Drosophila melanogaster: one gene and its partners. The protein of the gene in region 1 purifies or fractionates together with the protein of each later gene. This does not show direct contact. Each region holds a gene or a part of one and is shown on either strand. Other genes may lie near its edges. The genes, in order: Stip1, GstE6 and Akap200.

Region 1 (3,754 bases):
CCTGGACTTTTTGACAATTAGACCCATTTCTTACTATGGCTTCCAGTATAATATTACTCAATTTTATTATTATGAATGTATGTATAGTAAATTACAATTCTAATGGGCGCTCGGTAAAATATTTCGCGGGGGGTTTGTACATAGGTGGTGGAACTCCCCATCGTCATTTTCCTCCTCCTCCTTCCATCTCGTTTACTCAAAAGTGATATAAAAACGTGGAAAACCAACGCAGAGACTAAAATACACGATGCTTTGCGTTACTGCTTGTCCGTTGCTTTCTCTCTCAATTGCCACCGTACAGAAAAAATGTCCAGAATATTTAATACCGTCCACCACCACCACCGCCTCCTCCGCCACCACCTTTGCGGCGATCGCGATCGTTTCCGCGATCATTGCCACGCATGTTGTCCCGCTCGTTGTTCAAGTAGTTTCCTCCGCCGACACCGTCGCCTCTGCCGCCTCCTCTTCGACCCGGGGATCGGGACCTGCTGCGGGAGCCGCGACGGCGTCCAGGGGATCGGGAACGGGAGCGGGCACGACGGCGGCGGGAGTAGAGGTACCTTCGCAGCTCACGCGAGATGGGCTTCAAGTGCATGAAGTTGCAGAAGCCGGAGCGGGTACATTCGCCCATCTCGTACTGCCGACAGCAAGCCTCGCGGAAGTCGGTCACCGGCGATAGTTCCGAGTACACCGGTCGACCACCGAACCACCGGTTGTTCAAATCGTTTGCCGCCTTTTCCGCATCAGCCTCGTTACGGAATTTGATGTACACATTGCCGACCAGATGGTCGCCTAGGTTGTCGCACACGTTCATCTCCTCGATTTCCCCGTACTTGTCCTCGCACTCTACGAACACGTCCTCGAAAAAATTGTCGTAGTGTTCTTGCATCTCCTCGTCGGAGACGTTGGCCACCAGATGGGAGCCATCCGCGGATTTGGCGGAGTTTTGGGGGTTCACGTATAGATTTTGGAGAAGCACCGTCTGCGAGAAAGTGGGTTTGTTGTGGATGCGAGAGCACCGGTCGCCGTGGCGGCAGGCGCCGATCTTGAAGTAGAACGAACAGTTCACCCTGGGAAATGCAACGCCATTTAGTTATTAATCCCGGCAACGTTAAAATAAATGTGCCATGCGACTTACTTGTCCTTTTCCGTGCCAAAAATGGATGCCAAGTACTCGGCCATGCTGGCGGCTTTACTGTGGTGTTGCTGTGGCCAAAATGTGTAACTTATCTACCCGCTTGTCTCTGCAACGCGGTCAAACTGCAATTATGTTAGCCGCCTGTTTATTTAGTGATAATTTTCAATTATTTTCGGAAACCGAAAAAAGCAGCGTCTGGTCGTATTTTGCACGGCGTTGCCAGCCTCGAATCTAGAGTTGCAAATAAAATCGATGATTAGTTATCGATATTTAGTGTTTTTGGCAGCATCGTTTTTCGATACCTCTGTTCTTAATTTAAATGTTTTAAAATATGCTAACATTTTAAATATTAATTTCAAATATTTAAATATTAATGCACTTAAAAGCCTGAGGACTTATTTTTCATTTGACTAGAAAAATTTTACAATTCAAAATAAGAAATTGAGAAAATTATTTACGCAAATAATAATATAATATAAACATAAATAAACAATACAATAAAATAACATTTAAATTCTATAAAGCTCAAGGTATTATTTATATTTGATCAACAATTTTTTTAATTTATATAAGCAATGGAAAAAATTATTTAAGAAGGCTTGCTGGTTTTGTTCCCCGCTTGAGAACGAGCTAAGTTCTAAACCGCAGTCTGGAAAAAGATTAAATTCAGTCGCAGAAGCATTGACAACCCTATCGATTGCTTCTAGAAAAGTCGGCATTTTTCGCATTTTCACCTGGCACGGCACATTTCGCAGCGTGTTTTATTAAAAAGTCGTACAAAAATACAGGAAAAACTGTAATTCGACAGCGCTATCCTCTCCCTTATCAGAAATGGACAAGGTAAGTGCCCGAGACAAAGGAAAGGCGTTGGCATTTCCAATCAAAAACCCTTGCGGTTTTCGCAGGTGAACGAACTCAAGGAAAAGGGTAACCAGGCGCTCAGTGCCGAGAAGTTCGACGAGGCGGTGGCGGCGTACACAGAGGCCATCGCTCTGGACGACCAGAACCATGTGCTCTACAGCAACCGTTCGGCGGCATTCGCCAAGGCTGGAAAGTTCCAGGAGGCGCTAGAAGATGCGGAGAAGACCATTCAGCTTAATCCCACCTGGCCTAAGGGTTACTCACGCAAAGGAGCTGCCGCTGCGGGTCTGAATGACTTTATGAAGGCCTTCGAAGCGTACAACGAGGGTAAGTTCAAACACAGCTCAGTTATATGCCATGAATCACCCGACCTAACCTCACTAACCTCGGTTACCGGCGCAGGTCTCAAGTACGATCCCACGAATGCTATACTCCTGCAAGGCCGCATGGAAACTACTGCCTCGGCTCTGAGCTTTATGCAATCGCAGGGGGATATACCCATGGACGTTGATCCCCAGCAGGCACGCAGCCGCAGGGCTCCATCGCCACCGCCGGCGAAACCGGCTGAGCCCCCAAAGCCCGCTGAACCTCGGGTAGAGGACATGACTGAGGAGCAGAAGAATAAGTACTTCGCGAGGAAGGAGAAGGAACTGGGCAACGCCGCCTACAAGAAAAAGGACTTTGAAACGGCCCTAAAACACTACCACGCTGCCATTGAACACGATCCCACGGATATCACGTTCTATAACAACATAGCTGCTGTTCACTTTGAGCGCAAGGAGTACGAGGAGTGCATCAAGCAGTGCGAGAAGGGCATTGAGGTGGGGCGCGAAAGCCGCGCCGACTTTAAGCTGATAGCTAAGTCCTTTGCTCGCATCGGTAACACCTATCGTAAGCTAGAGAACTACAAGCAGGCGAAGGTTTACTATGAGAAGGCCATGTCCGAGCATCGCACCCCTGAGATCAAGACCTCGCTGAGCGAGGTGGAAGCCAAAATCAAGGAGGAGGAGCGAATGGCCTACATCAATCCGGAGAAGGCCGAGGAAGAGAAGGAGCAGGGCAACCTTTTCTTTAAGAAGGGGGACTACAGCACCGCTGTAAAGCACTACACCGAGGCCATCAAGCGCAATCCGGATGATCCCAAACTCTATAGTAACCGCGCCGCCTGCTACACCAAGCTGGCCGCCTTTGATCTGGGCCTCAAGGACTGCGACACTTGCATCAAGCTAGACGAAAAGTTCATAAAGGGCTACATCCGCAAGGGCAAAATTCTACAGGGCATGCAGCAACAATCTAAGGCGCAAGCCGCTTACCAAAAGGCCCTGGAACTGGACCCCAACAACGCGGAGGCCATTGAAGGCTACCGTCAGTGTTCGATGAACTTCCAGCGCAATCCGCAGGAGGTCCTCAAAAACGCAATGTCCGACCCGGAGATTCAACAGATCTTAAAGGATCCGGCTATGCGTATGATCCTCGAGCAGATGCAAAGCGATCCCAATGCGGTCAAAGAGTAAGTACCCGTTTGGCTTTATTCGTTCGCTTTTTTGGGTTTCATTGGTAAAATCTAGAAATTAATAGCCCATTTGAAGTTAACAAGCAGACTTACGTTTCTTTGGTCTTATATATTATTAACAACCTGTATACTATATTTTAATTAACAACCTCTATATTTCAGACACTTGCAGAATCCTGCCATCGCCGATAAGATAATGAAACTGCTGGAGTCGGGCATCATTCAGATTCACTAGGCACTCC
Region 2 (3,405 bases), on another chromosome or scaffold:
CAGTGCATTAGCGAAGATCACTCCGGACTCGAAATGCAATCGCTGATCCACGACAGCACGCTGGAGGAGATCTTTCGGATAGAGACTGTCCGTTTTGCCGTATTTGGACACCAGATAGGCAATAATGGCATGTGAGTCCCAGATATAATGTCCATCGTCCTCCAACGTGGGCACCGTGTGCTGTGGATTCTTCTTCAGAAACTCCTCAGAGAAGTTTTCCTTGGCCCGAGTGTTTACCTCCACGAATTCGTAGGGAACCTCCAGGGCAGCCAAGGTCAATTTGACGGCACGAACTGGTGGACTTGCCTCCAAGCCGTACAGTATCAATTTGGGCATCTTGTCGCTGGGTAGAGTCTCGTCTATTACTAAACGTCAACAGCGAAGAGTCACTATATTTATAGAATTTCGAAAGAGAGTAATTAAGAGAAGCGAGAGCAGTAGATAAGAAAGTCAGTTAGGTTTTTGCTCTCGCCTCTTCTATTCATTTGTGTCCAAATCAATTATTTCACCACAAAAATTCAAAAGCTCTAGAGTTTTCTAAGCAATTATTTATTGTGACTATATAAACTGTAAAATAATATCATGCTTCGAATGTGAAATTGGTCTTCTTGAAAATGGCCACCAACTGGCGGACGCCCTTGCCATTGGCTTCCTCGTAGTATGGAAGCTGTTCCAGCTTTTTGATCCAAGCACCGATCCTGGGATACTTAGTCGTATCCAAGGCCACGAAGGCCTCAAGGGAGGCCACCGATGAAACGAGACTGAAATCCGCAATGGTCAGTTGATTGCCAGCAATGTAATCCTGTCCCTTGAGAAAAGTTTCCACAAAATCGTAGATCTCGATAATGGCATCGTATCGCTCCTTGGGTACTTTCGTCTGTCCCTGGAAGAGCACTGACTTCGATATGCTCCTTATGCCATTGGCAAAGACCACTCCGGATTCAAAGTGCAGCCGCTGATCCACAACAGCCCGCTTGAGAGGATCTTTCGGGTATAGGGCATCGGAATCGGCATATTTCGAGACCAAATAGGCAATAATGGCATGCGAATCCCAGATGTAGTGACCGTCATCCTCCAGGGTGGGCACCGTATGCTGTGGATTCTTCTCCAGATATTCCGGTGAAAGTTGGGCACGAGCCACAATGTCAACGTTTACATATTCGTAGGTTAGGTTTAGAGCGGCCAAAGTAAGCTTAACAGCGCGAACTGGGGGACTGGGGTCCAAACCGTATAAAGTCAATTTCACCATCTTGTCGCTGTGGGGTCTCTTTTCAAACTAACCCATAACTGCCGAATAACTAATATAATATACAAAACTTGGGATCAATGAAAGAGAAAATTTAAGAGAGATTCCGTGTACTTGAAAAAATCTCTATATTTACTGCACTTTACAAGTCAATAATAATATGTATGAATGTGAATATATGTCTAATCATGCATACATATGTATATCTTTGTCATACTAGAATATTCTAGTGTCTTTGGTCATACAAACCCAAATTTTTAAGTATCCTCCTACTCTTTTGAACTCACTTTACTTTTCTTTTTATGTTTATTTTTAACCTATCCCAACATCTAAAATAAAAAAAAAACTGATTAAAAGTATTTTAGCGCGAACATATGAGAGCACTATATGAATCACAAACATAGAACAACAAGTATTCTGTGATAACCGCTTATCATATGTGAAAATGATTACACAGTACTCGGGCAGAAAATACAAGTCATGCTGACAGAGGTTAATAAAATGGAAAGCCCTCGAAAATGTTTGTTGCCGGCAAGAATATATATATTATCTATGTATGTAGCGACATTCTGTAATAGGTTCTCTGTGTACTTAATACACATTTCATTCTCTTGCTACTTTAATGGAACTAACTAAGTTCTCTTGTTTCCTACAGCGATATTTCTCTTAAATCTAAAATATAAAGAGATAAAAAACCGCAATATTTACAAGTTTCCAAATTATTTATTATAATTTCAGAACTCTAGGTTGCAAAGGTGAAATTAGTGGACTTTAGAATGGTCTCCAACTCCCGGGCTCCCTTCGCATTGGCCTCCTCGTAGTAAGGCAGCTTCTCCAAACGCCTGACCCATTCGATGATCCTGGGATATTTCAACCTATCGATCTCCACGAACGCCACCAGCGAGGTAATCGACGAGATCAGGCTAAAATCGGCAATGGTCAACTGATCCCCAGCAATGTAATCATGTCCAGCGAGGAAGGTCTCCACAAAGTCATAGATCTCGACAATGGCATCGTAGCGTTCCTTGGGAATCCTGTTCAGGCCATTAAAGAATAACGGCTTGGTAATGGCCTTAATGCCATTGGCGAAAACCACTCCTGTCTCGAAGTGCAGTCGTTGATCCACCACAGCTCGCTGGAGCAGATCTCTGGGATACAGGGCATCCGAATCTGCATATTTGGACACCAGATACGCGATAATGGCATGCGAGTCCCAAATGTAGTTACCATCATCCTCCAGTGTTGGCACCGTGTGCTCTGGATTCTTTTTTAGATATTCCTCAGAAAGCTGCTCCTGACCCGAAATATTAACGTTTACAAACTCATAGGGCAGCTGGAGGGCAGCCAGAGTGAGTTTGACGGCACGAACTGGTGGACTGGGATTCACACCATATAGAGTTAACTTGACCATGTTTGCACTTTGAGTTAACGTTCTCTACTGACTGATTCTTGGGATCGAGCGCGTACAAATGTTGTTACCAAATGGAAAGGTTAAGAGAGCATGGCTAAGAGACATTTCTAAGAGAATTTTTGTTGGTTCTTGTTGATTGGTCCTTTAAGAGTTGATTCGTGTAGAGAATAACATAAGTTTCAATGAAACATTAAAAATTTGTGTAATTACAAATTCTGTAGATACTGTTCTGCTTAAATTATGCAATCATTTGATACGGTCTAACGGTTCGTCGAACGATAATCGAAATTGTTTAAGTACTTTCGTGAAAACAATCTAGAACTGACTCACTCAAATAATACTTTCGTGATTGTTGATAACAAGCTATCAAGTTGGTTTGCCATGATTCAAGTAAACATGTTAAAGACCTCGAACAAGTGGATAAGGTATTGTATGTCATGCAACAACTTCTATAGAACAATGGAAAAATACAGAAACTAATCCCCAGATAAACTAACCACCAGGCAAACTAGCCCACAGGTAACTAAAAGTAATAACAATACCTTTTAGGGGGGTGCTTTGCCTATTTAATTGCATAATTTGAACACAAAACAAAGAACATTTTTTTTTGTTTGCTAATATCAATTCTGTGAAAGCGATAATTTCCAATTAAAATGTTAAGCCATTTACTGTCGAAATCAAGACTAGTGCTTACGAAACTATGGTGAAGTTTTTGGACCTCAAGAGCTCCACGAACTGGGCAGCTCCT
Region 3 (3,754 bases), 8.1 Mb from region 1:
CCTGCCTCTGGAGTTACTGGTGCGGTGACAGCTGCTGGGGTGGAGATCAGTGATAAGCCGCTGCCAAATCCATTGATCGCCTTTGATGAACCCGCCGGTCCCACGGGACTTCGCGGCTGATCAAGATCCAGCACTATATAGTTTACTCCGCAGCTGCCCGCTAAGCTGGTGGGCGTGGCCGGCTCTTGATTGGAAATTGGTTCCCTCGGCAGCAGAGGGAGCTCCAAGCGATTTACGTTCTCATAGCAGCGCTCATTGTTCAGATCAAAGATCAGAGCTTCCACATTGGCGTACATGTGCACAGCATCGTTGGGACTCAGAACTGGAGCTGGTGCTGGGGCCGATTCCAGAGGTGGCAAGTCCATCGTGCGCCTACGTGATGTCAACCTATTGCCGGAGGGCGGGGTGGAAAGCAAATCCGAGGCGGTGCCTTCCAGACAACAGTCCTGCAAAGCCCGCAATGGCTGATCCAAATAGGCACTGGGTATCAGGACTGGTGATTGCAAATTGGGCGGAGAGTCATCGACTTGCGAATCGTTGGCCTGCAGCGGATACGATGCACTTGTGCTCGAGGGCTCACTGTGGAAGTTGCCCAACTGGCGGCTCATTAGGGGAGCCGGCTCTAGATAGTTATTGCCCTCAGTACGGCCCATATTTACGGACACCGAATGAGCGGAGTTAACCCTTTCTCGTTCGCCCTGCACAAAGGCATCTGTATTCACCGCGTTGATGTAGCGCTGAAACATCGGATACAGCTGCTCGGCATTGTGGACTCGAAACGTGTAGATCCCTGGCCCAGACATACACCTACGTCCTGCTTCGAAGGAGAAGAGATCGTTATTCAACCCATAACGTCGGAGGTGTTGCAGTGCCCAGACAATGGGCTCACAGCCAGGCGACTGGAATATTAGTTCCCGGGGCGTTAGCTCCAGGTAGCCACTCCGGATGATGGGCGTACCCGGGGTGGGTTGCAGGTGAGCCACTCGCACTCGAAACACATTCTCATGACCGCGCAGCTCATTTAACTTGCTGCTGCTGGTGATGCAGCCCATGGTGTTGCACTGAAAGACGGAGTATTATGCATTGAAGGATTATCCACTCCAGTCATGTACAGTGCCTATTGAAATGCACACCTGGACAGGCAAGTCCGCCTGGCTGTTATCGCAGCGGGCATGGAAGAAATCGCAGGCCGATAAGAGCACCACCCACCGCCTCCACCAGCTGAAATCAGCTACCCAGTGGAACTGGAGGCTCTGGGGTGCAGTCGAATTGTGTTGCTGTTATCCTGGTTGACTCCTCCTGCTTTGGTTAACTCCTGATCGACGGGACTGCTGGCTGATTGTTGTTATTTGGCCACGGAAATTCCGTTCTTGTGGTATAAAATTTCTTCTGCGACTTTTCCCCTCGCCCGACAGAACGCAATTGTGAGCAACGGGCATGCTAACTTGATTTTCGCAAAAAGACTTACAAGAAACGCTTTTTAAAAAAGTAAACGGAAAATCAAAGACAAATTACAAGTAATTACACTTAAAGAATGAAAAACTAGTTTAGCCAAGTTTAAGCCAAGGAAATATTAATATTTCAAAATTTATAGAAAAATATTGCAAATGTCAGCTTAATAGAAGTTTTCTCTCGTTTAATAGAATAATCTTGAAGATTTCTTACGTCGTAATTTTTACGTTTCTGCAAATGTTTACTGCAATTAACAAGTAATAAATAGGATTCAGATGTAAACAAATATAATTTATAAAAAAATTTTAAGTTAAGGCATTTTAGTCATCTTAATTGTATGGTTAACCATTTGGCGGAACATCAACTTTGTGGACAGCACTATAACTAGACCCGAAGCCCTAACGCGTTCTAACTGCGAAAACATCCTAACGCGACGTAAATACCAGACCCGAGCGGACATTTTTTATTTGTGGAGCGCGCAACAAGAACGAGAAAAGAAACCGAAACGGAAAGCAGGCAAAAAGAGCTGCTGCCAGTGTAGAATCGCAAAGCAAAGAAAGAAGCAAGTGCGTGTGTTTTTAAACCGAAACCGAGAGAATCGAGCCAGGTAAATTCCACTTTAAGTCATAAGATCAGAACATAAAGGAGTTAATTTAAAAAAATAAATGAAAAAGAAACCAAAGCCAAGCAGGCAGACGGCTTGCGTGTGTGTGTGTGCGTGAGTGGTGCTACTTTTGAAATTCTCTATACCCGCTTTGAATTTCGTGTTTGTTTAAAGGAATTGTGATTGAAAAGGAGACAAAGAGTTATTGACGAAAAGTTTCTAACTGGTTTCAAAAATGGTAACTGTATTTGAGGCACAAGTGTTTGTAAAAGAGACGCCCGCCGACGCTCACACACACAGGCAGGAAAAAGGACGCCATGGAAGGCGGCTTAGTGTGCGTGAACGGTGAAGAATGGGAGAAGCGAAGACTAAAAGAGATATTTAAATGGAGTTTTATGCATTTAAGGAGAACTTTCTTTGTCATTAACCCCGCCCCCGCAAAATACAGCATTCGAATTTCGCCACCTTGGAGTAGTTGCCTTTTTACAAAATTTTTGGGTGTGCCGCCTTCAATGCGTCGGCGTTGCCACCACGTCGGCGTCCGCAGCAGCAGCGCAGGCAGTGACGGCGGCAGAGGCAAACACCATGCCGGTGTGGCTTTGTATCCGTATCCGTCTCGCTCTCTCTCTCTCTCTTTGTCTCTTCGGCTCAATCTAGCGCTCTCTCCTTTTTGTGCCTCGCCTTCCTTCGCCTCGCCCGCTCATCGCTCTGGTCCTTTGTGCCATCGCTTCGCCTTGACTTCTGGTTCATTGTCGTTGTCTCCTCTTTGTTTGCATTGTACGCCTGATTACACTTGCCAACATGTTTCTACCTTCTCAGCCAAACATCCTTGTGCAAGGTGCACGCACATAGCGAGTGCCCACTGTGGCCATTTGATCTTTGTATACGTTTCGATCCCTTTTGCGTCTCGGTTTACTCAGATTATCGATACGAGGAGGATCGTCTTTTTGTTTTTCCTACACTTTTGTTGCGAAAAACTGCGTCGCACTTTCTGCAGCGTCGGTTTGTCAGTTCGTCCGTCCGTCCGTCACTCAGTCGTTCAATCGCTCAATCGCAGACGGGCAGACAGCCACCGCCCTAACTGGCGTCGCCTACATGTCTTTGTGTGTGTGGTGTATGTGCTTGCGTGCCTGGGGTAGTGTGCCTGTGTGCGTGCCTCGCTGCATGTGTGAGTCCTTTACGAATGGAGTGGGTGGGCAGAGGCCGAGGAGGAAGAAGCAGAAGCGCAATCACAAGATTTTCGATTGTCAACTGCAATTTATACTACTGCTAAGAGAATTTTATGATCTACTTGCAACGCTGAATGCTAATGCCTTAAATTTTAGTAGCCTCTGTCAAGGATCTTAAATTCAAGTTCTTGTCACAATCATATTTCTTAAGTATATAATTACTTTTATTGTTAAATATTTGTACTGTACTTAATACGTAAAACGTATTTGACAAGTGAAATTTCATGATTGCTCTACTGAAATCTTTTCTTTGAAAATGAATGCTCTTCTTTGTGTTCTAACCTGACCAAATTTATTTGTCAGTGACCCAATTTAGGCACCAAAACTGTAAATATTTCCGAAAATCTTATCAATTTGCCTGTTGAAAATTTGATTAGGAATGGAGTTTGCATTCTGAATTTTCCCCACTCCCGAAATTTGAGCAAATTGAATTATTTCGCTGCGATTTCAGGTAGCGGTCGCCAACCGA

What was found.
Region 2: the proteins of Stip1 (region 1) and GstE6 purify together in Drosophila melanogaster (affinity purification with mass spectrometry, with the first as the bait; one large-scale study listed by BioGRID). This does not show direct contact.
Region 3: the proteins of Stip1 (region 1) and Akap200 purify together in Drosophila melanogaster (affinity purification with mass spectrometry, with the first as the bait; one large-scale study listed by BioGRID). This does not show direct contact.

Annotation. Positions count from the first base shown.
Region 1 is NT_033779.5:293,303-297,056, forward strand, and holds the start of Stip1 (stress induced phosphoprotein 1), read left to right. Parts: upstream 1-1,819; 5' UTR 1,820-1,969; coding exon 1,970-1,978; intron 1,979-2,043; coding exon 2,044-2,326; intron 2,327-2,401; coding exon 2,402-3,509; intron 3,510-3,674; coding exon 3,675-3,747; 3' UTR 3,748-3,754. Other genes in the region: U2af38 (U2 small nuclear riboprotein auxiliary factor 38), read right to left, coding at 320-1,070, 1,139-1,182.
Region 2 is NT_033778.4:18,403,886-18,407,290, reverse strand, and holds GstE6 (glutathione S transferase E6), read right to left. Parts: upstream 1,281-3,405; 5' UTR 1,250-1,280; coding exon 581-1,249; 3' UTR 530-580; downstream 1-529. Other genes in the region: GstE7 (glutathione S transferase E7), read right to left, coding at 1-336; GstE5 (glutathione S transferase E5), read right to left, coding at 1,989-2,657; GstE4 (glutathione S transferase E4), read right to left, coding at 3,348-3,405.
Region 3 is NT_033779.5:8,413,828-8,417,581, forward strand, and holds the start of Akap200 (A kinase anchor protein 200), read left to right. Parts: upstream 1-1,862; 5' UTR 1,863-2,059; intron 2,060-3,754. Other genes in the region: CG13398 (uncharacterized protein), read right to left, coding at 1-1,052. UniProt on the Drosophila melanogaster protein: Scaffolding protein involved in the regulation of PKA signaling and anchoring to the actin cytoskeleton integrating signals propagated by cAMP, diacylglycerol and calcium.